Stegostoma tigrinum: one gene and its partners. The protein of the gene in region 2 interacts with the protein of the main gene of each other region in a pairwise test. Links are inferred from orthologs where the notes say so. Each region holds a gene or a part of one and is shown on either strand. Other genes may lie near its edges.

Evidence for each region.
Region 1: the proteins of napbb (region 2) and stx5a interact in binary tests that used the Homo sapiens proteins (3 or more experiments, as listed by UniProt). The two-hybrid records come from large-scale screens. The link is inferred for Stegostoma tigrinum from reciprocal best matches to the Homo sapiens genes NAPB and STX5.
Region 3: the proteins of napbb (region 2) and stx16 interact in binary tests that used the Homo sapiens proteins (3 or more experiments, as listed by UniProt). The two-hybrid records come from large-scale screens. The link is inferred for Stegostoma tigrinum from reciprocal best matches to the Homo sapiens genes NAPB and STX16.

The regions. Positions count from the first base shown.
Region 1 is NC_081395.1:11,926,511-11,933,950, reverse strand, and holds the start of stx5a (syntaxin-5a), read left to right. Parts: upstream 1-4,341; 5' UTR 4,342-4,456; intron 4,457-7,440. UniProt on the Homo sapiens protein: Mediates endoplasmic reticulum to Golgi transport.
Region 2 is NC_081362.1:11,142,971-11,150,619, reverse strand, and holds the start of napbb (N-ethylmaleimide-sensitive factor attachment protein, beta b), read right to left. Parts: upstream 3,001-7,649; 5' UTR 2,772-3,000; coding exon 2,674-2,771; intron 2,163-2,673; exon of another isoform or gene 1,913-2,162; intron 1-1,912. UniProt on the Homo sapiens protein: Required for vesicular transport between the endoplasmic reticulum and the Golgi apparatus.
Region 3 is NC_081372.1:60,523,507-60,530,884, reverse strand, and holds the start of stx16 (syntaxin-16), read left to right. Parts: upstream 1-4,298; 5' UTR 4,299-4,367; coding exon 4,368-4,448; intron 4,449-4,476; exon of another isoform or gene 4,477-4,496; intron 4,497-7,378. UniProt on the Homo sapiens protein: SNARE involved in vesicular transport from the late endosomes to the trans-Golgi network.

The DNA of each region.
Region 1 (7,440 bases), on a different chromosome or scaffold from region 2:
GGAGGGTGTGATTTGAGAGGGCGGAGGGTGTGATGTGGCAGGGATTGGAGGGTGTGATGTGGGAGGGATTGGAGGGTATGTGAGAGGGAGTGGAGGGTGTGATTTGAGAGGGCGGAGGGTGTGATGTGGCAGGGATTGGAGGGTGTGATGTGTGAGGGATTGCAGGGTGTGATGTGAGTGAGGGTGGAGAGTGTGATGTGAGAGGGAGTGGAAGATGTGATGTGAGAGGGAGTAGGGGGTGTGCCGTGAGAGAGGGTGGAGGGTGTGATGTGGGAGGGATAGAGGGCGTGATGTGAGAGGGTGGAGGGTCTAATGTGGGAGGGATTGGAGGGTGCGCCGTGAGAGAGGGTGGAGGGTGTGCTGTAGGATGGAGTGGAGGGTGTGATGTGGGAGGGTTTGGAGGGTGTAATGTGAGAGGGTGGAGGGTGTGATGTGGGAGGGATTGGAGAGTGTGCCGTGAAAGAAGGTGGAGGGTGTGATGTAGGATGGAGTGGAGGGTGTGATGTGGGTGGGAGTGGAGGGTGTGATGTGGGACGGTGTGGTGGGTGTGATGTGAGAGACTGGAGGGAGTGATGTGAATGAGGCTGGAGGATATGATGTGGGAGGGTATGGTGGGTGTGATGTGAGAGAGCGTGGAGGGTGTGATGTGGGAGGGAGTGGAGAGTGTGATGTGAGCGAGGGTGGAAGGTGTGATGTGAGACTGGGTGGAGGGTGTGATGTGAGAGGGTGGCGCATGTGATGTGGGAGGGCGTGGAGGGTCTGATCTGAGAGGGATTGCAGGGTGTGATGTGAGTGAGGGTGGAGAGTGTGATGTGGGAGGGAGTGGAGGGTGTGCCGTGAGAGAGGGTGGAGGGTGTGATGTGGGAGGGATTGGAGGGTGTGATGTGGGAGGGATTGGAGGGTGTGATGTGGGAGGGATTGGAGGGTGTGATGTGTGAGGGATTGGAGGGTGTGCCGTGAGAGAGGGTGGAGGGTGTGATGTGGGAGGGATTAGAGGGTGTGATGTGGGAGGGATTGGAGGGTGTGATGTGGGAGGGATTGGAGGGTCTGCCGTGAGAGAGGGTGGAGGGTGTGATGTGGGAGGGATTAGAGGGTGTGATGTGGGAGGGATTGCAGGGTGTGATGTGGGAGGGATTGGAGGGTGTGCCGTGAGAGAGGGTGGAGGGTGTGATGTGGGAGGGATTAGAGGGTGTGATGTGAGAGGGTGGAGGGTGTGATGTGGGAGGGATTGGAGGGTGTGATGTGGGAGGGATTGGAGGGTGTGATGTGGGAGGGATTGGAGGGTGTGCCGTGAGAGGGAGTGGAGGGTGTGATGTGGGAGGGCGTGGAGGGTGTGATGTGGGAGGGATTGGAGGGTGTGATGTGGGAGGGATTGGAGGGTACGTGAGAGGGAGTGGAGGGTGTGATTTGAGAGGGCGGAGGGTGTGAAGTGGCAGGGATTGGAGGGTGTGATGTGGGAGGGATTGCAGGGTGTGATGTGAGTGAGGGTGGAGAGTGTGATGTGAGAGGGAGTGGAAGGTGTGATGTGAGAGGGAGTAGAGGGTGTGCCGTGAGAGAGGGTGGAGGGTGTGATGTGAGAGGGTGGAGGGTCTGATGTGGGAGGGATTGGAGGGTGCGCCATGAGAGAGGGTGGAGGGTGTGATGTGGGAGGGATTGGAGAGTGTGCCGTGAGAGAAGGTGGAGGGTGCGATGTAGGATGGAGTGGAGGGTGTGATGTGGGTGGGAGTGGAGGGTGTGCCGTGAGAGAGGGTGGAGGGTGTGATGTGGGAGGGTGGAGGGTGTGATGTGGGAGGGATTGGAGGGTGTGATGTGAGAGGGAGTGGAGTGTGTGATGTGGGAGGGCGTGGAGGGTGTGATGTGGGAGGGATTGGAGGGTGTGATGTGGGAGGGATTGGAGGGTATGTGAGAGGGAGTGGAGGGTTTGATTTGAGAGGGCGGAGGGTGTGATGTGGCAGGGATTGGAGGGTGTGATGTGTGAGGGATTGCAGGGTGTGATGTGAGTGAGGGTGGAGAGTGTGATGTGAGAGGGAGTGGAAGATGTGATGTGAGAGGGAGTAGGGGGTGTGCCGTGAGAGAGGGTGGAGGGTGTGATGTGGGAGGGATAGAGGGTGTGATGTGAGAGGGTGGAGGGTCTGATGTGGGAGGGATTGGAGGGTGCGCCGTGAGAGATGGTGGAGGGTGTGCTGTAGGATGGAGTGGAGGGTGTGATGTGGGAGGGTTTGGAGGGTGTAATGTGAGAGGGTGGAGGGTGTGATGTGGGAGGGATTGGAGAGTGTGCCGTGAAAGAAGGTGGAGGGTGTGATGTAGGATGGAGTGGAGGGTGTGATGTGGGTGGGAGTGGAGGGTGTGATGTGGAACGGTGTGGTGGGTGTGATGTGAGAGACTGGAGGGAGTGATGTGAATGAGGCTGGAGGATATGATGTGGGAGGGTATGGTGGGTGTGATGTGAGAGAGCGTGGAGGGTGTGATGTGGGAGGGAGTGGAGAGTGTGATGTGAGCGAGGGTGGAAGGTGTGATGTGAGACTGGGTGGAGGGTGTGATGTGAGAGGGTGGCGCATGTGATGTGGGAGGGCATGGAGGGTCTGATCTGAGAGGGATTGCAGGGTGTGATGTGAGTAAGGGTGGAGAGTGTGATGTGGGAGGGAGTGGAGGGTGTGATGTGAGAGGGAGTGGAGGGTGTGATGTGAGAGGGTGGAGGGTGTGGCTTGTGAGAGGGTGGAGGGTGTGATGTGGGCGGGAGTGGAGGGTGTGATGTGAGAGGGAGTGGATGGTGTAATGTGGGAGGGATTGGAGGGTGTGATGTGAGGAAGTGGAGGGTGTGATGTGAGAAGGAGTGGAGCGTGTGATGTGAGAGGGGATGGAGGGTGTGATGTGGGCGGGAGAGGTGGGTGTGATGTGGGAGGGAGTGGAGGGTGTGATGTGAGAGGCTGGAGGATATGATGTGGGAGGGTATGTTGGGTGTGATGTGAGAGAGCGTGGAAGGTGTGATGTGGGAGGGATTGGAGGGTGTGATGTGAGCGAGGGTGGAAGGTGTGATGTGAGACAGGGTGGAGGGTGTGATGTGGGTGGGAGTGGAGGGTGTGATGTGAGAGGGAGTGGATGGTGTAATGTGGGAGGGATTGGAGGGTGTGATGTGAGGAAGTGGAGGGTGTGATGTGAGAAGGAGTGGAGCGTGTGATGTGAGAGGGGATGGAGGGTGTGATGTGAGAGGCTGGAGGATATGATGTGGGAGGCTATGTTGGGTGTGATGTGAGAGAGCGTGGAAGGTGTGATGTGGGAGGGATTGGAGGGTGTGATGTGAGCGAGGGTGGAAGGTGTGATGTGAGACAGGGTGGAGGGTGTGATGTGAGACAGGTTGGAGGGTGTGACGTGAGAGGTATTGGGGCGTGTGATGTGAGAGGGATTGGGGCGTGTGATGTGAGAGGGTTGGGCGTGTGATGTGGGAGAGATTGGAGGGTGATGTGAGAGAGGGTGGAGGGTGTGATGTGAGAGGGATTGGGGGGTGTGATGTGAGAGAGGGTGGAGGGTGTGATGTGGGAGGGAGCAGAAGGTGCGATGTGAGAGAGGGTGGAGGGATCTGGAATGTGCTTCCTGCAAGTGTGAAGGACTTGGTCTCATGAGAACTTTTGTTTTGAAGAGCATTATTCCATCAAGGCAACACTGCACTGGAGCATGAGTTTCCTCCCTTAATCCAAAGATGTGTTGGATGGATAGATTGGCCACTTCCCATGGCCAATCCACCCAACCTGCTCATGTTTGGAATATGGGAGGAAACCCACGCAGACATAGGGAGAATGCTTAACTCCACACAGTCGCCCCAGGATGGAATCAAACCCTGGTCCCTCGCTCTGAGAGACCATGCCTCCCTGACAGAGGAAGAATCTCCCCATTTTAAGGGACCATGATTAGGGAGAGCAGAATCTTATTGAAAACACAAACATTTTATCGAAGCTTTATTCCCTGCACTTGTCGGGACAAAATGCAAGAACACCAAACCTGGAACCCTCACAACAATTGACGCTGTTGGAGAGAAGGGTGGTCATTGTGTGGGCAAGTTGACTCCAATAGGCTAAAACATTGCCATGGAGAAGGAAATGGGGAACTAGAAGGCTTCAGGGTAATTCACATGAAGAAGTCACAAGGATTGAACATGTTCCTTTAGTTTGCAGAGGACAGGTCACTGTGTTTTGTACTAGAAGGGGTTATGTATGGAGTGCCAATGGAACACAGGCAGCATCCTCACAGGTACTGATGGGCGGGACAGGAGTTTGTGGGCGGGGCTTGGGGCTCTGGCCGTGTGAGTAGAGCAGCCTGTGCGCCTGCGCTGGTGGACGTGGCAGTCACGTGGGCTTGTCAGTGACGCCAGTAGGGCTCGAGCGCCGGGCCTTTCAGTGAGGGGACGGTAAACAGATACTGTAGAGAGGGTCAGAATCAGTCGGACTTCGAGCCCGCCGTGGTAAGTGTTTCGGTGTCCAATCTTTCCTCTTAATAGATACGTAAGCTAGAGGGCGGAAGAATTAAGTTTTTAAAATAGCCGGCTTAGAAAATATCAGAGGGAGCTGCATCCGGCGCAACCAAACTTGGGAATCCAGCCGGAGAAAGCGTGGTCCAATCAACGACCAAGTGGCGCTAGGATATGACCAATCGGCTTCTGAAGGGGGCGGGATGTTTGCACTCAATACTAAGTTTGGTTGAGAGTTCTCTTTCCCCCCCCCCACGATCACTGGGGGTGCGCACCCTTATAAAGCCTCCACTTTTTCATTTTACACACCCCCCCACTCTTATTCCTCCATCCCCAACTTCACCCCACTTTCATATGAAATTTGTTCTTTCTAAAAGCAAATTTTTTGTTTCCTCCTACGATCTTCACCCCCGCAACAGTCCAAACTCTTCTCTTCCCCCCCCCCCCCGACCACCTGCCAAATAATAACTTCATTACCACTCTCTCACATCAGTTGAATTTTGCTGCCCCCCCGCCCCTGGTGTCCAACTGTTCTCGCTTCCCCCACTGTTGTCTGACAGTTCTTGCTGCATTCCCCCCCTGCGTCTGATGGTTCTTGATCCGCCCCCCCCCCCCCGTTGCCTGACCAGTTCTTGATCCCCCCCCCCGTTGCCTGACCAGTTCTTGATTCCTTCCCCCCCCCCCTGCTGTCGTCTTCTGACTGTTCTCGGTTCTCTTCCCCCCCCCCCATGGTTGTTGTCCAATGGTTCTCAATTCTCTCCCCCCCCCCCCAAACCATGGTCATCATCTGACCATTCTCGATTCTCCGGCTTCCCCCCCCCCCCCCCCGTGGTCGTCGTCTGACCATTCTCGATTTCCTCCCACCATGGTCATCTGACCGTTCTTGATTCTCTCCCCCTCCCCTCAACATGGTCGTTGTCCGACCGTTCTTGATTCTCTTCCCCCCCCCAACCGTGGTGGTTGTCCGACCGTTCTGGATTCCTCCCGCCCCCCAACCATGGTCATCCGACCATTCTCAATTCTCCCTCACCATCCCGGTTGTTGTCCGACCGCTTTCGATTTCGTCTCTCCCCCCCCCGCCACCATCATTGTTTTCTGTCTGTTCTCACCCTGTCCCACCTCCAACCCCCTGCTTTCTTTAGTATTGCGAGGTGCAGGGTTAGTTTGTGCCCACTCAAGAAGGTAGTGTTACAAGATCTTTGTTCGAGCTTCTTGCTTGTCGAAGTGTTACGCCAGGGATGTCATTGAGTGAGCCACCAAGACTGTGGACTTGAGTCACCCAGACAGGGCTCAGACTGACCAGAGTGTCTGGAGTTTTGTCTTTCTGACAGATGTTAAACCTTTGCACCCCCTGAGGTAATCGGGAGGTGAAATAAAAGAGGGAACTGTATCTGGTGCAACCAAAGCAGAGAATTATGCTAGCCAGTGACATTGTCCAGTATGGGTCAACAGGAGATGAGACTGGTCAATATCAGTCAATATTTCTGTTGAGAAAGTTCTCTGGCACTGTTGGACAAGTAGGAGGTGCAGAAAGTTCATTCTTCCTGTGAAGCCCCATCACTAAAGCAGATTGTTTCTGCATGTGGCATCTTTCTGCACACAAACCATTGCTTGTCAGTTTCATTCATAAGGTCGCAAAGAGCTTTGGGCATTCTGGCCGAGTAAAAGTGCTGCTACATAAATGCAAGCTTTTTCTCCTTTGTTCGGCTTAAATTGTTGTAGGATGTGACTGTGCAGATGGAAGCCATTCAACCCTTCATACATGTGCCCAGGTGATGAAAGTTTGCTCGGAACAAATGATCTGAGGTGTCTTTGAAAAGTTTCTGACTGGTAGACGCAAGATTGGATTTCTGACTTGCATTAGATAGCATTGCATCTGTCAAATTACAACTTACTGGAATTGGTCCTCGTTTATCCTGTGTGAGGTTGTAGGGCTCTGGTGTCAGTTGATCCAGGCCAGTAATTTGTGGGGTCGGCAGTTCCAGCAGTCAGATTGGCATCTGTGCTGATTAGGGAATGCATGAAAATAGTTATGTTGGCTGGATTAAGGGATAAGAAGTGACTTAATTGAAACCTACAAGATCCTAAGGGGACTTGATGTGGTGCATGTAGACGGGAGCTTTCCTCTTGAGGGAGAATCTGCAACTAGACAGAAAGTAAGGTACCGCCCATTGCAGAGATGAGAAGGAATATTTTTCTGAGGGATGAGAATCTTTTAGCTCTTCCAAATAGCAATGGTCAATAATTTGGCTTTGAGTGTATGTTCGTGCAAGAATCAGTAAACCAGGGAAGGGGAAATCTCTGTAAAATGTAAACACTTCATGGGTGTGATCCTGTTTCTTGTTCCCATTTTGATCAGCCTTTGCATTGCGTTTTGTCTCGGAAATATCTCCATCTTTCCAGATTTAACCTTGCCACGTTCCTGTTACAGGGCTACAGGAACTGAACTGGCAGTGTAGGCCTGAGGGGCTGAATGGCCACCTCCTGCTTCTGTGAACCCTTCCTTTCATTCACACTGATCATACTTGCTCCGTAACTCCATCTTATCTCACCTTCCCTTGCTCGGTAACTCTTAAACCCTTTGCCTGATAAAAATCTATCAATCTCCATCTTCAAATATCTTATCATTCCAGTTCCAGAAAAGTAGGGGAAGAGTTCCATGTTTCCACTGCTCTTAGTGTGCAAAAGCACTTACTAGCAACACCCCTGAACAGCTTGGCTGTCATGTTGCTCTGACAGAGGCCTTCAACACTGTAGACTGTGAGGATCTATGGAAGATTCTGCTGCAGTATGGGCATTCTGCAAAGTTTATTGCCATCCTTTGTTTGCATATTGTTATGAAGCAAGCAATGGATCTATTATTGACCCCTTTTAGGTGAAGACAGGCAAAGTTATGTTAGCCCCCCAGTTCTTTGATCTTCCAAGCTGCGGTGCTCCATCTAACTAGAGACAGGCTCCCTGCTGGAGTGCAGTTTGTG
Region 2 (7,649 bases):
GATAGAGGGGGGGAGAGAAAGAGAGATAGAGGGGGGGAGAGAAAGAGAGATAGAGGGGGGGAGAGAAAGAGAGATAGAGGGGGGGAGAGAAAGAGAGATAGAGGGGGGGAGAGAAAGAGAGATAGAGGGGGGGAGAGAAAGAGAGATAGAGGGGGGGAGAGAAAGAGAGATAGAGGGGGGGAGAGAAAGAGAGATAGAGGGGGGGAGAGAAAGAGAGATAGAGGGGGGGAGAGAAAGAGAGATAGAGGGGGGGAGAGAAAGAGAGATAGAGGGGGGGAGAGAAAGAGAGATAGAGGGGGGGAGAGAAAGAGAGATAGAGGGGGGGAGAGAAAGAGAGATAGAGGGGGGGAGAGAAAGAGAGATAGAGGGGGGGGAGAGAAAGAGAGATAGAGGGGGGGGAGAGAAAGAGAGAGAGGGGAGAAAGAGAGATGGGGGGGTGGAGAGAGAGATAGCGAGAGAGATCGCGCGAAATAGAGAGAGCGAGAGAGAGCGCGAGGGGAAAGAAAGAGAGAGAGAGGAGAAAGAGTGAGCGAGAGCGAGCGATCAACAGTGAAGATGCTGAGACCCCATTTCCTATTCTGGAGAGTTCAGGAGTAAGGGCCACAGTGTCAGTTGGAGAATGATGGAGGTAGCTAGTTACAATTGAGATGGCAACATTAATCTCTTAAATTCTCTGCCTCAGAGGGTTCTGGATGCTCATTCATTGCATTGAAGGCTAAGTTTCATAGATATTCGTTCAATGGAAATCAGGGGATAAGCGAAAGGATAAAAAAAAGTGAACTTAAGGTCAAACAATAGCCAACTAGTTACTGAACAGAAGAGCAGGTTTGAAGGGCTCTTATACCCCACTCCTGCCTGTGTTATGTTCCATATGAGAAAATAACCATTATAAATGACAAAGTTAGTAAAATCAGCACTTTTTTTAATTTTAGCAAAATACTATCAGTTCATTAAAATCAAATGTATAGACTAACATCTTGTAATAGTAAAAATTTTGAAAGTGTGGTTAAAAGAAATAATAAATCTTGGCAAAGAGATTTATATAGAGAATTTAGCCAGTGCTGCCAATGTCTCACATCACTTTATACAATAGCTCTTTGCTATTACATAATCAACCTTTTAGTTTCAATGCTATTTTAAATTTTGAAAATCATGTACTTGCAAGAAAATGTTGTGTTGCTCACATTTAGAACCAAAAACAATGTGGTGTAATATGTCTAAATGACCTCCAGGAATTTCCCATTATCTGAGTAAGTAAATCCAACAAGTAGCTGGAACTTACAATCATGAAAGTCTAAAGTTCAGAACTTGGTCTTTGTTTGAGTTCATGATATCTGCTGAGCCAAATGTGGCAGCACTAAAATTAGGTTAAAGGGGGAAAATGGTTTATCAGTGTAGCTGCTGCTAATCATTGTCCAGTGTACCCACAATTCCTATCTCACTGGAGTGTGTGTTTGGGGTGGTGGATGCGTGTAGCTATTTGGTGAATACAGCATTGGGATAGGCTGTGATGGCCACTCAGGTCAAATAGCAGGTTGGTGCTCATCTACATAGTTCACATAAACAATGACCACTTCAATGATTCAAGGGGACATTACTGCAAGGAAGCGGAGACAGACAAAACGGTTCTGAGGATGGGTCATTTGACCTGAAATGTTAACCCCCCGCTTTCTCTTCACAGGTGCTGCCAGACCTGCTGAGCTTTTCCAGCAATTTCTGACAGAAAATGGACTCTTTTAGCCAAATTTTCTTTAATGTCAAATAGGCTGTTAAGTGTTATGTTTCACATGTGTACACCCAATAGGAACAGTGTGGATAAATAACACTTCAGTAACACCATTTATTTTACCCTAATTTCCAAATAATATTATTGCATTCAAAATGTTGATATAACAGATTACATTTCAATTACCTGCCCTCAGTTGAAATAATGAGTCTTTATAGCAGTAAATTCATTTCCTTAAAACCATAACCACTTGGGAACTTTTCAGAGACTTTTATATGCGACCACTCCTGATCAGCATCCATACAACGTGCAAAATGAATCCCAAATCCAGGAGCGTACCGAGAGGCGACGGTGTAACGTTATGCAATGAAATCCCACACATAGTAACAGTTAGAGCCAGCACTGGAGACTGGACAGCTACCGTAACCTTGACGCATACATCTTCTGCAGCTCGCCTTTGTACCAATTTTGCAGACGGAATTAAATTATAATTCCCACCCACACCGCACCGTCCCCCGCCCCCAACACACACACAAAGGAGACGTTTAATTCCCAATGGATGATTATATAACTTCCCACGCGATACTGACACCGCAGATTGTCGAAAAGGAGAAATACCACCAATCCCCTCAAATCCCTTCGTTTCAAGCAAAACATGATCTGAAATTATCCCTCTCTCCTCCACTGGAGGTTAAAAAAAATGGCAGCTAGCAAGCACTGCAGTATTTCCAAAGTAGACTCCATCCGCGGAATGTTTCAAAATAGAGATGCAGTACATATGAAAAAAAAACTGGAATATTTGATAGAATTTTTATTTAAAAATGCATGACCAATGGACTTGACTTCGCAGTAGTCGGTATGTATTAACCCCAAGCCTGTCTGCTAGAAGGGCTATCCCACCTCCTGAAAAAAAACACGACTCAAAACTAAACTGATGCTGCTCTTACCCAAACAAACCTCCAAGAAAGGAATGCGATGATTTCACCTTCTTCTCTGCATCAGCCATCAGTTGCATGGCTTCTTTCTCTTTGCCAGAATTGTCCATGTTATTGATTTTGTTTTAATTTTGAGCCTCTGGATTTTTTTTTTCAATGCAATATGTAATTTATTGCTAATGCAGAGTCAAGCCTTCGTCGAGCTTTGCAGATGCTACAAGCTTTTTTTTCCTCTCTCTTCCCCCACTTAGCCTAGAGATAGAGAGCGCTCTTTAGCCCGCCTGCAACCCACTGACAAGCCAGTGCAGTGCTTGAGTCCTGGGCCTCATCAGCTGATCGAAGGCCGCGCCCCCTCCACTGGGGCCAGTCGGCACGCGAAGCATGCTGGTCATTGTAGTCCTCTTCCACCGCAGCCTCCAGTATTTCTGTCGACCGACCGGTGGAGCGATAACTACAAGTCCCAGAGGGCCGCCCTCACCCCGCCAGCCACCCTTCGCTCCAAGCACCCACGGGTTCGGGATTGTAGTCAGTTTGTGCAGCACAGGGGCAGATAGATGTTAAGATTACTGTTCCAGCCGGTAGCAACGTTTGAAAAATAATGGTTGCATTGTCCATAACCGTGGTTTCCCACTCATAGTGGTCAACAGGGACTGTCACCCATGCTTCCACCCTTCCTTCTTCCCAAAACTCACAACAGGATGAGTCGGTCCCCCTTGTCTTCCTCCCACCAGCCTCCGTATTTAAACGATCATTCTCTGCCATTTCAGACAACTCCAGCAGAACACTGACACCAAACACACGTTCCCCTCACTCCGCCTGTCTGCATTTCACGGGGATTGTTCCCTCCGGCACGCCCTAGTCCATTTATTGACCACTAACCCCAATCCGTCTTCCCATGTAACCATGGTGGTGAAGATGCAACAGCTGCCCATTCATTTCCTCCCTGCTTACCACTCAAGGGCATAAACAGTCTTTCTGATGAAGCTGCATTTCACCTGTACCACCTCCAATCTTGTGTATTGTATTCAGTACACCCAACGTGGGCTACTCTACATTGGAGAAATCAAACACAGACTGGGTGACCACTTTGCAGAACACCTCCAGTCTGTGCACAAGCATGACTCCTGATCTCCCCAAAGCCGGTCCTTTTAAAACAGCATCCTGCTTGCACACCCATATATCTGTCCTGGTTCCAGCAAATCACAGCACAAACCGGAGGAACAACATCTCATTTTCAGACTAGGCACTTTACAGCCTTCTGGACTAAATATTGAGTTCAACACCTTCAAATTGTGAACTGACTCCCATTTCTTCTCTTTCTTTTAGTTTTACTTGTTACATTCTCTGTCACCATGTCCTCTCGCCCCTCCTGGCATGCTATTGGGACTGCTTTCTTCTTCAAGTCTGGCAGTTAGATATACAACTGGTCTGCCATTCTCACATTCTGATCCCTAACTTTGAACTATCAAATCTTTTCTCCAACAGCACTCTACATCCATCACCACCACACACCCCCGCCCATAACAACTATAATATAAATGTTTTTCCCCTCTACACTTCATTTCAGCTCTGATGAAGAATCACCTGGACTGGAAACGTTAGCTTGCCCTATCTCCACGGATGCTGTTTGACCCACTGTGATCGCCAGCTTTTGCTGTTTTCAGAATAAAACTTGCATTGGATAAAATGCATTTTATTTTTATCCTTCCATACCTCGGGCCAAAACTAACCAGTGGGTTACCTTTGACTAGAAACTGAATTTGGACTAGGCATTGTCAATACTGTGTGTACAAGAGCAGATCAGAGACTGTGAATCGTTTGGTGAGAAATCCACCTCCTATCTTCCCAAAGCCATGTCCACCAAGACATAAGTCAGGAGTGTGATAGTATATTTTGACACAACTGGAGTAGGTTCAGGAAGCTGATCAAACTGTTCGAAAAGCTACGAAATTTCTCCATGAGATGTTTTCAGTTTTCTTGGCATGCAAGTTCAATAAGTGGAGAAAACTGTGGGAGATCTCCGTAGATTGTCTTCTGTGGATGAAAGTTTATGTTGCTGAAGAGTCTGGGGCAATATCTCATGCCCCACAAGGCAGTCATTACCTTGGCACAGAGCGAGTTTTACCTGGCTGGGAACATTTGATAACCAATCCAGAAGGGCAAGTTTGACACGTACTTGTCAACTCTTCAAGGATTTGGGCTGATTTGGTGAGAATCAAATGAACTACTTAACAAATTTGCCATTGTTGCGAAGTATTGCTTCAAAATGATCTTTAATGGAAAGGGTGTGATCACCCAGACACTGAACCCTGATTTTTATTGGTCAAATGTGTACAATTCCCAGCCATTCTAAAGTGTTGGGAAACGCAGTAATGGTTACTCCTAAATCAAGAATAAAGGCGGCATTGAAATTCTTCACTTTCAGAATTATTGACCGTAGTTCAGATCATTATCATAGGATCCCTACCATGTTGAAGCAGGCCATTGGGTCCATCAAGTCTTCAGACATCATCCCACCCAACCCCTGTAACCCTACATTTCCCATGACCAATCCCCCTAACCTGCACATCTTTGGACTGTGAAAAGAATCCCACGCAGACACAGGGAGAATGTGCAAACTCCACATAGACAGTCACCGAAGGGTGTAACCGAACCTGGGTCCCTAATGTTATGAGGCAGCTGTGCTAACCAGTAAGTCAACATACCACCCTTCTATCTTCTATTGCGGCGCCAATGACTGAGAAAATCTGTAATTTCCACTTCTTTTATGCTCAATTTGCTGGATTCTCTTTGCTTTACTTTTAACAGATTGTATTGCTGTACTGCTGAAGTGGGCTGAATCACAGACACATCCCCTCCTGGACAATCTTGGCACTTGGGATGTTTCCCTGTGCCGCAACACCAGCATGATACAGTGGCGCCCCCTGCATTGTCCTCATTTTTGACAGGTTTCCTGTTGCAGAGGTAAATGCCATTTGGTTGTAGCCAACTTATGGGTTCAAAATTTGTGTCAAGCTGCATCACGGCTTTGTATTTTGCACCCAGTTTTGCTTTATCCATTAGATTCCTTGCTCCATCATTGAAATAGCTGCTCAGAGACTGGTATCCCACCACCAAGTCATCCTTTATCCACCTGTGAACAGTACACTGGCAATGGTTAGGCAGCTCGAACCAGTGGTGTGGACTGAGGAGATTCTAAATCCTTTGTTTATAGAGGTCAGATATGGCCCACGTTAACAAACCCAATCAAGGACTTCATTGACAATGAGATCCACCTGGATCCAATCACTACAATCTATTTGGACTTTAGGAAACAGAGACCATGCCCTTACATATGCGTATAAGCTCAACCCTCAATATTGCAGCATTACAAAATATAGCTGCCTTATTTAAGTCTTCAGCCGTCTGTAACAAAGCTGCTGGCTACTCGTTTGGAGTGGGTGCATTCATTAAGAGGTCCTTCAGACTAAGATAAGCATTGAACACTGCTAGGGCTGACTGAAAATCTGCCGAGCACACATCTGCACTTCACCTATTCATGATCTTGGGTTCATTTCGCAGTACAGGTGACCCCACTACACTATACTCTCACACACACACTCTCTCACACACACATGCGCATGCGCACACACACACATATTCACACAGACAAATACACACACTTTCTCTCTCTCTCTCACACACACACACACACACACACACACACACACACACAAACATAAATCTATGGGGTGAATTTGCATTTGCAGATTTGTAATTGCAGATACACTCTATTTTGTTCAAAAAGCACACAATTTGTGGATGCAGTCAGTCAGTGGGGCATTTTCTAGATTCCTGCTTTGGAAATAAAACCAGTCTGACTCCACGTTAAAACACAGATAGTTTCTAAACAAAGCCTGACACCAAAAGGCATTGTCTGACCTGAGATGTCACCTCTTGTATTCATTGATAAAACCTTAGGTTATCTCAGGACATTAACATGAAAAATTCAGAGAGTTGAATATTAATCATTTGAAACCTGCAATTCCTTTCTAACTGATTCAAGATTTAACAGGAGGGAGTCAGCCAGCTAACGTAGGGTATTAAATACATTTGAATCAATTGTATAATCCTTTGATTTTTTACATATAAATTCTGCATCTTGGTACTTCTCTCCTTACACCTGAGGAAAGGGCAATACTTCAAAAGTTTGTGTGTTCACTTAAACCTGTGCATTATAACCTGGTGTCATATGATTTTTGACCTTGTCCACCCCAGCCCAACACCGGCACCTCCACATTATGATCTGTTCAGCACTGAGTATAAAACAGTACTGATCTAGGGTTAGAGCTGATTCAAATGGAGACCTGAGGCCGTTTTGCACCTGTGGAGCTGCACTTTCCCACCTAAGTGCATGTATCACATCTTTGACAGAAACTTTGAAGATGGGTAGGGATTGATGATTGGGTGCAGACACTCTGCCACTTCTGAGTTTACCTCTTTTCAGGGGGGTGTTCACCTATTTCACTTCGAATCATTGTACTCCTAAAAACATCGAAGGATTCTTGTCTTGTGGTTCAACCTTTCCATGTGATTGTTCAATGTTGCCTTGTGGCTCTTCAGATTACTCTGAAGAAAACAATTTAATTGGGTGTCTCCACTGCTGTCAATACTTTACAGTATGTGTTCTTTAAATCTGCAAACTCAGAGCACACTTCTGCTTTCCTTTCAGTCCAGGTTTATTGACATGATGGCAAGGCATTCCAGGTATTTCAAGTTCAATCCTTCCTTGCCATACAGGAATAAGCATGTTTTGAGCTGTCTGGGTTCCAACCTCTGAGAGAGTGCTAGTACATATATTAATCAATTGGGTCAATGGGCTGATGAGTGGTTTATAAAATAATGAGGGATATAGGTAAAGGTGAATGACAGGCGCCTTTTCCTGAGGATGGAGGATTTCAAGGCTAGGGGGCATATCTTGAAGGTGAGAGGAGAAATATTTGAAAAAG
Region 3 (7,378 bases), on a different chromosome or scaffold from region 2:
AGCAGGAAAACTGACATTTCAGGACGAGACCCTTCTTCAGAAATGGGGGAGGGGAAGTGGTTTCTGGAATAAATAGGGAGAGAAGTGGAGGCGGATAGAAGATGGACAAAGGAAAAGATAGGTGGGCAGGAGACTGACAGGTCAAAGAGGCGGGGGTGGACCCAGTAAAGGTGAATGTATTCGGGGAGTTAGGGAGGGGATAGGTCAGTCCAGTGAGGATGGACAGGTCAAGGGGGTGGGATGAGGCTAATAGGTTGGAGATGGGGTGAGGCTTGAGGTGGGAGGAGGAGATAGGTGGGAGGAAGGACAGATTAGGGAGGCGGGGACAAGCTGGGCTGGTTTTGGAATTCGGTTGGGGGAGCAGAGATTTTGAAGCTTGTGAAGTCCACATTGATACCATTGGGCTGCAGGGTTCCCAAGCAAAATATGAGGTGCTGTTCCTGCAACCTTCGGGTGGCATCGTTGTGGCACACCGCAACTCTCCCATAATTTCTTCGGCCCTGAAACTGCTTAACCATGTTCTGAAGCAAACCAGGTACTACAGCCACATTACCTTATTAATATGCAAAATCGGTTTGAAGGTAGGAGACAGAGAGTAGTGGTGGAGGGTTACTTTTCAGACTGGAGGCCTGTGACCAGCGGTGTGTCACAAGGATCAGTGCTGGGCCCATTGCCTTCTGTTATTTATATAAATGATTTGGATGTGATTATAGGAGTTTGGTTAGTATGTTTGTAGATGATGCCAATATGGGTTGTGTAGCGGACAGTGAAGAAGGTTACCTCAGAATTCAACAGGACCTTGGTCAGATGGGCCAATGGGCTGAGGAGTGGCAGATTGAGTTTAAGTTAGGTAAATGTGAGGTGCTACGTTTTGGAAAGGCAAATCAGGGCAGGACTTAATATGCATAACGGTGAGGTCCTGGGGAGCGTTGCTGAACGAAGAGACTTTGGAGTGCGGGTTCATAGTTCCTTGAAAGTGGAGTTGCAAGTAGACAGGGTAGTGAAGAAGGCATTTGGTACACTTGGTTTTATTGGTCAGTGCATTGAGTATAGGAGTTGGAAAGTCATGTTGCAGCTGTACAGGACATTGGTTAGGTCACTTTTGGAATACTGCTTTCAATTCTGGTCTCCCTGCTACAGGAAAGATGTTGTGAAACTTGAGGTGGTTCAGAAAAGATTTATAAGAATGTTGCCAGGGTTGGAGCCTTTCAGATATAGGGAGAGTCCGAAAAGGCTGTGGCTATTTTCCCTGGCATATCGGAGGCTGAAGGGTGACCTTATAGAGGTTTATAAAATCATGAGGAGCATGGACAGGCTGAATAGTCAAGGTCTTTTCCCCAATGTAGGGGAGTCCAAAACTAGAGGGTGTAGGTTTAAGGTGAGAGGGGAAAGATTTAAAAGGATCCTAATGGGCAACTTTTTCACACAGAGGGTGGTGCATGTATAGAATGAATTGCCAGAGGAAGTGGTGTAGGTTGGTAGAAGTACAATATTTAAATGTATCTGGATGGGTATAGTAATAGGATTGGTTCAGGGGGATATGGACTAGATGCTGGATAATGGGACTGGATTTATTTTGGGTACTCGGTTGGCATGGATGAGTTGGACTGAAGAGTATTTTTCCGTGATGTACATCTCTGTCAGTCAGTGACTGTAAGTTGGAATTGTTTTACTTGGAGGTAAGAAGGCTGAGATCAGATCTGAATGAGGTTTTCAAAATCCTAAGCAGGCTGGAGAGAGCAAATAGTGTGAAGCTGTTTCCACTTGTACTAGAATGAGAGGGCACAGATTTAAAGTGATATGGAAACAAAGCAAGGGTGATGTGAGTAAAAGTTTTTTTACACAGTGAGCAATTAGGGTACGGAATGTGGTATGAGACATTCGACAGTGCATTAGATTGCTTTTTGGGAAGTAATCATACCTAGGGAAATGGGGAAAAGGCATTGACCCTCCAAACAGCATTCCACCTAGATCCAGCACCCCCACCTTATCCCCAAAATGCCACATTTACCACACTAATCCACCTAACCTGCACATATTTGGACTACGGCATGAAACCAGAGCACCCGGAGGAAACCCATGCAACACAGGGAGAACGTGCAAACTCCACACAGACAGTGACCCGAGAACGTAGGTCCCTGGCACTGTATGGCAATAGCACTAACCACTGAGTTGCCCCTTTTTATTCATGGCATATTTAATCTTGAAGAGATCAAAACTCTTTACTATCTTAAAAACTATGTTAATGCATCTGAAAATATTTTGTAACCTCTGTAGTCCATGGACATGTTGAAGAAGATTCTGGTCTCCCACCATTTTCATTCCTGGCTGTAAAAGTGGTTTTCTGTGGGTTGAAATTGAGCTCATGTTCCACCCTGATGGCTCTTGAAGTGGATGTCTTACCAGGCTATATGAGAGGGCAGCCAAGAGTCAGTCACATTGCTGTGGGTCTGGAGTCACATCAAGGCCAGATAAGCCAATGATGGCAGATTTTGTTCTCTAACGGACATTAGTTAAACAGATGGATTTTGACAATTCATGGGCATCACTGAGACTAGATTGAAGCAAATGTATGTTATCTCTGTCAGTTGTAGTGGTCAGATATGAGCCAGTGTTTCCAGAGCTTGGGCTTTTGGATGACTGATCAGTGACACCACCACTAATCCACTGCCTCCCTGAACATATGCTGACTTCCGGTACAGGAGTTGTTAAAAAAATTGATTACTTCATAGGATGCAGGCATTACCCAGCAAGGCCAGCACTTGTTGCCCAATCCTAACTGCCCTTAATATGGCCATTTCAGGAGCAGTTAAGAGTCAACCATCTGCCAACAGTCTGAAGTCACATTGTAAACCAGACCAGGAAGGACAGCAGACTTCCTTCCCTAAAGAACTTTAGTGAACCAGATGGGTTTTTATGACATTCAGTAATAGATATTATGGTTGCTATTAATGAGGCTGACTTCCTATTCCAGATTTTTATTAATTTAATCTAAATTCTGACAACTGCCCTGTCAAGGTTTGAATGCTTGCTCCCTAGATTATAAACTCAAGCCTCTAGATTGTGGTGCTAATGATATTACCAATGCACCACCATCTCCGCAAGCTTGTCAGCGCTGTGGTTCAGTGACCCTTTGAATTCTGTGTCTGATACTACCTCTCTCACTAAAACCCAAAAAAGGAGTGAGGCTCTGAAAGCTTGTGTTTTCAAATAAACCTGTTGGACTATAACACAGTGTCATGTGATTTCTGACCTGATGAAGAGCACACTTCGGGAGGCAAAAACCTAGTGGAATTATTGCTGAATTGTTAATCCAGAGACTCACACAATGTTCCAGGGATCTAGGTCTAAATCCCACCATGGGTGACAGTGAAAATTGAATTCAACAATTTAAAAAAAACTGGAATTAAGAATCTAATGATCACCATGAATCCGTTATCAAATGTCAGGAAAACCCCATCTGGTTCACTAATGTCCTTTCGGGAAGGAAACTGCCATCCTTACCTGGTCTGGCCCACATGTGACTCCAGGCCTATAACAATGGCTGATTATCATAAAAACCCATCTGGTTCACTGAACTTATTTAGGGAAGGAAGTCTGCTGTCCTTTCTGGTCTGGTTTACAATGTGACTTCAGACCTCTGGGTAATTAGGGATGGGCAGTAAATTCTGGTCCAGCCAGTGACAACTTCATCCCATCCATGAATAAAGGAAAAGAAGGCTTCAAGTGAGGCTTAAATAGTATCAGAGATAATGGGAACTGCAGATGCTGGAGAATCCAAGATAATAAAATGTGAGGCTGGATGAACACAGCAGGCCCAGCAGAATCTCAGGAGCACAAAAGCTGACGTTTCGGGCCTAGACCCTTCATCAGAGAGGGGGATGGGGAGAGGGAGAGGCGGACCGGCTCCCCATCCCCCTGTCTCCCTATTTATTCCAGTTCCCTCTCCGATGAAGGGTCTAGGCCCGAAACGTCAGCTTTTGTGCTCCTGAGATGCTGCTGGGCCTGTTGTGTTCATCCAGCCTCACATTTTATCATCTTCAAGTGAGGCTTACTTGGACTGGAGAATTGCGTACTTTCACGATAAGTTGCTTAAAGTTTGATCAGTAGTACCACAGAGACCGAGCCTGAGGCCCACGTACCAAGACTACAGGCCCCGACAGGGAGAATGAGTGCCTCAGCTGAGAAGACATTCACCTCCGGAACCTTTCGCCGAGGTTACAGTCGGTATCTTTAGGCAGTCGGACGCGTTTGTAGTTTCCGGGTGCTGCAGGTTTTCTCTTCCCCGGAGTGGTTTCCGGGTGTTGCAGGCTTTCTCTTCCCCGGGTTGGGGATAGAGGGAGCCGGTTGACTAGGGAGCAGCAGCAATGGCGACCCGCAGTCTGACCGATGCCTATGTGCTGATGCGGAACCGAGCGGCCCAGAGCCGGCAGCTGCTGGCCGAGCAAGTGAGTACAAAGCCGGGACAGGCCGGCGGCGGCAGCAGCGACGCTGCGGTGAGTCCCAGTCCCTGTGTTAGTGTGTGAGCCGGGAGAGGGGAGCAGCAAGCTGGGCGGGCAACCAGGCCTGGCACCGACACTGGGCAATATGACCCATTGAGGCAGAGTCTAATCATAACCCTCCACACCAGAATGTAGGTGTATAGCATTGTTATAGAATCTACAGCTATGGAATATTTTTACATAACTGCTACGTGCTATATGTTATAAAATGTACATGTCATTATACATAATATCATTACAAAGGATCAGGAGTAGGCCATTCGGTGCCTTCACCTGTTGAGGGGTCACAGAGACAGGGGCCAGTTCACTTCATAAGCAACTCACTCAGTCCTGTTTCTTCTTAGCCCAACATTTTCCACACACACACACTCTCTCACTCTCTCTCTCTCTTTCTCTCTTTCCAGATGATCATCTAATTCCCTTCATATAGTCAGGATTGCCTCAGTCTCCGCCTAAATCTCGGGTGGCAACTTCCAGATCCTGACCACCTGTCGCTGAAGAGATGATTTTTTTCCTCCTGTCACCTGTGGTTTCTGTTGTCATTGACCTAAAATCAGTGTCCACTGGCTCACCCTCTTCCTGCCAATCAGAACAGATTTTCCCATCTGCTGTGTCCATACCTTTTGTGATTTTAAACCACATCTGTCAATATTCTCTGCTAGGAAAACTGTCAGTTTCTCAAATTTACCCACATAACTGAAGTTTCTCATCTTTACTATAATGCTCTTAAATCTTTTCTGCACATTCCATGTAAAGTGTAATGCCTAATGTTGTAGACAATATTCTAGTTGAGGCTGATCCTAAGTTGTTATAAAGGTCCACAATAGCATCCTTGCTTTTAGACTCAATGCTTTCACTTATAAAACTTATTTCACTTATAAAACTTGCTTTATTTCACCACATCCCACCTGCAGTGATTCATCCGTATAAACCCCAGGTTCTATGCCACGTCTTGAACTGTATTCTTTTTGTTATACTTCCCCTTGTTTTTACTCATACTAGATGTATTTTTCTTTTCTGCATTAAATACCATTTGCTGTTTGTTGGTGTATTTCACCAGTCATGTCCTCTTGATTTATTCTGCTCACAATTCATTATACTCACGCATTTTGTTATTTGGCACCCCCACTTTGTCCAGTCTAGAAAACAACTGTTCCCCACAATTAATTCCTGTCACGAAGCCAACTTTGTGCACATGCTGTCACTGACCCTTACTTTGACTTTGCTTTAACTTGGACTATAGCATTTTTACAATACTGAGTTAAGTAGCAGATGGCAAATGCTTATGAAAACATAGTTGTAGTGTCACATCAACGTTGTATTGTCCTGTATTCTCTAATCTCTTCTGTTTACTCTGAACCTTCAACCTTGTTCTAGGTTGTATTATCCATATGACACAAAATACGCATGGTGGCTCGATGGTTAGCACTGCTGCCTCAGCGCAAAGCACCTGTGTTCAGTTCCACCTTCGGGTAACTGTCTGTGTGGAGTTTGCACATTCTCCCTGTGTCTGCGTGGGTTTCCTGAGTGCTCCGGTTTCTACCCACAGCCCAAAGATGTGCAGGTTGAGGTGGATTGGCCATGCTAAAGTTCCCACAGTGTTCAGGGATTTGTAGATTAGTTGGGTTATTGGGGAATGGGTCAGGGTGGGTTGCTATGAAGGTTGTGGACTTGTTGGGCTGAAGGGCCTGTTTTCACACTTGGGATTCTGTGATTTCTGAGATTTCATTCATTCGTGGGTATTGCCAGCATTTAGTGTTAATTCTTAATTTCTTGAGGAAGTTGAGTCAGTTATCTTGCTAAGGGCGTTAGTGAACTGGATGGTTTATATTGCAACTATCAACGTGGTCACAGATTATGTACTCCTGGCAAATGTGGCTCATCAATATTAATCAACATTATCTGGATATCATTAGGCTAGCTTTTATTCCAGATTTTTATTGATTTCAAATCAGACCATCTAGCATGGTGGGATTCAAACTCATGCCAAGCGGAGGCTTAGGGACAAGGCTTTGCAGAACACCTACGCTCGGTTCGCAATAAACAACTGCACCTCCCAGTGGTGAACCATTTCAACACCCCCTCCCATTCCTTAGACGACATGTCCATCCTTGGCCTCCTGCAACCCGAAGGTTGCAGGAACAGAAACGCGTGTTCCGCTTGGGAACCCTGCAGCCCAAGGGTATCAATGTCGATTTCGCCAGCTTCAAAGTCTCCCCTCCCCGCAACTGCATCCCAAAACCAGCCCAGCTCATCTCCGCCTCCCTAACTTGTTCTTCCTCTAACCTATCCCCTCCTCCCACCTCAAGCCGAACCTCCATTTCCTACCTACTAACCTCATCCTGCGCCTTGACCTGTCCGTCATCCCTGGACTGACCTATCCCCTCCCTACCTCCTCAACTCTACTGGCTCCGCCCATTTAACTTGTCTGTCTGCTCTACACCTATCTTCACTATCCATCTTCGATCTGCCTCCCCCTCTCTCCCTATTTATTTCAGAACCCTTTCCCCCTACCCCTTTTCTGATGAAGGGTCTAGGCCCGAAACGTCAGCTTTTGTGCTCCTAAGATGCTGCTTTGCCTGCTGCATTCATCCAGCTTCACACTTTGTTATCCCTAGATTGTTAGCTTGGGTTCTGTTTTTTCAGTCTGCTGACTTGACCATGACATTTTTTACCATCTGGGAACTCTGACTTTATTTCAGCTACCTTATCCCCTTGTGGAAATGGACTGTGACTGTACCTATACCATCTCCTCTTTACATTGTTACGCTGTTTTGTATGTCAGTCTTTTTGGTTCAAGTTCATTTTAATTCCATTAAAGGTGTTCCTGTTCCAATTAATTATTTGTTCCACTGAATCGATCCCTGCCTTTCCTC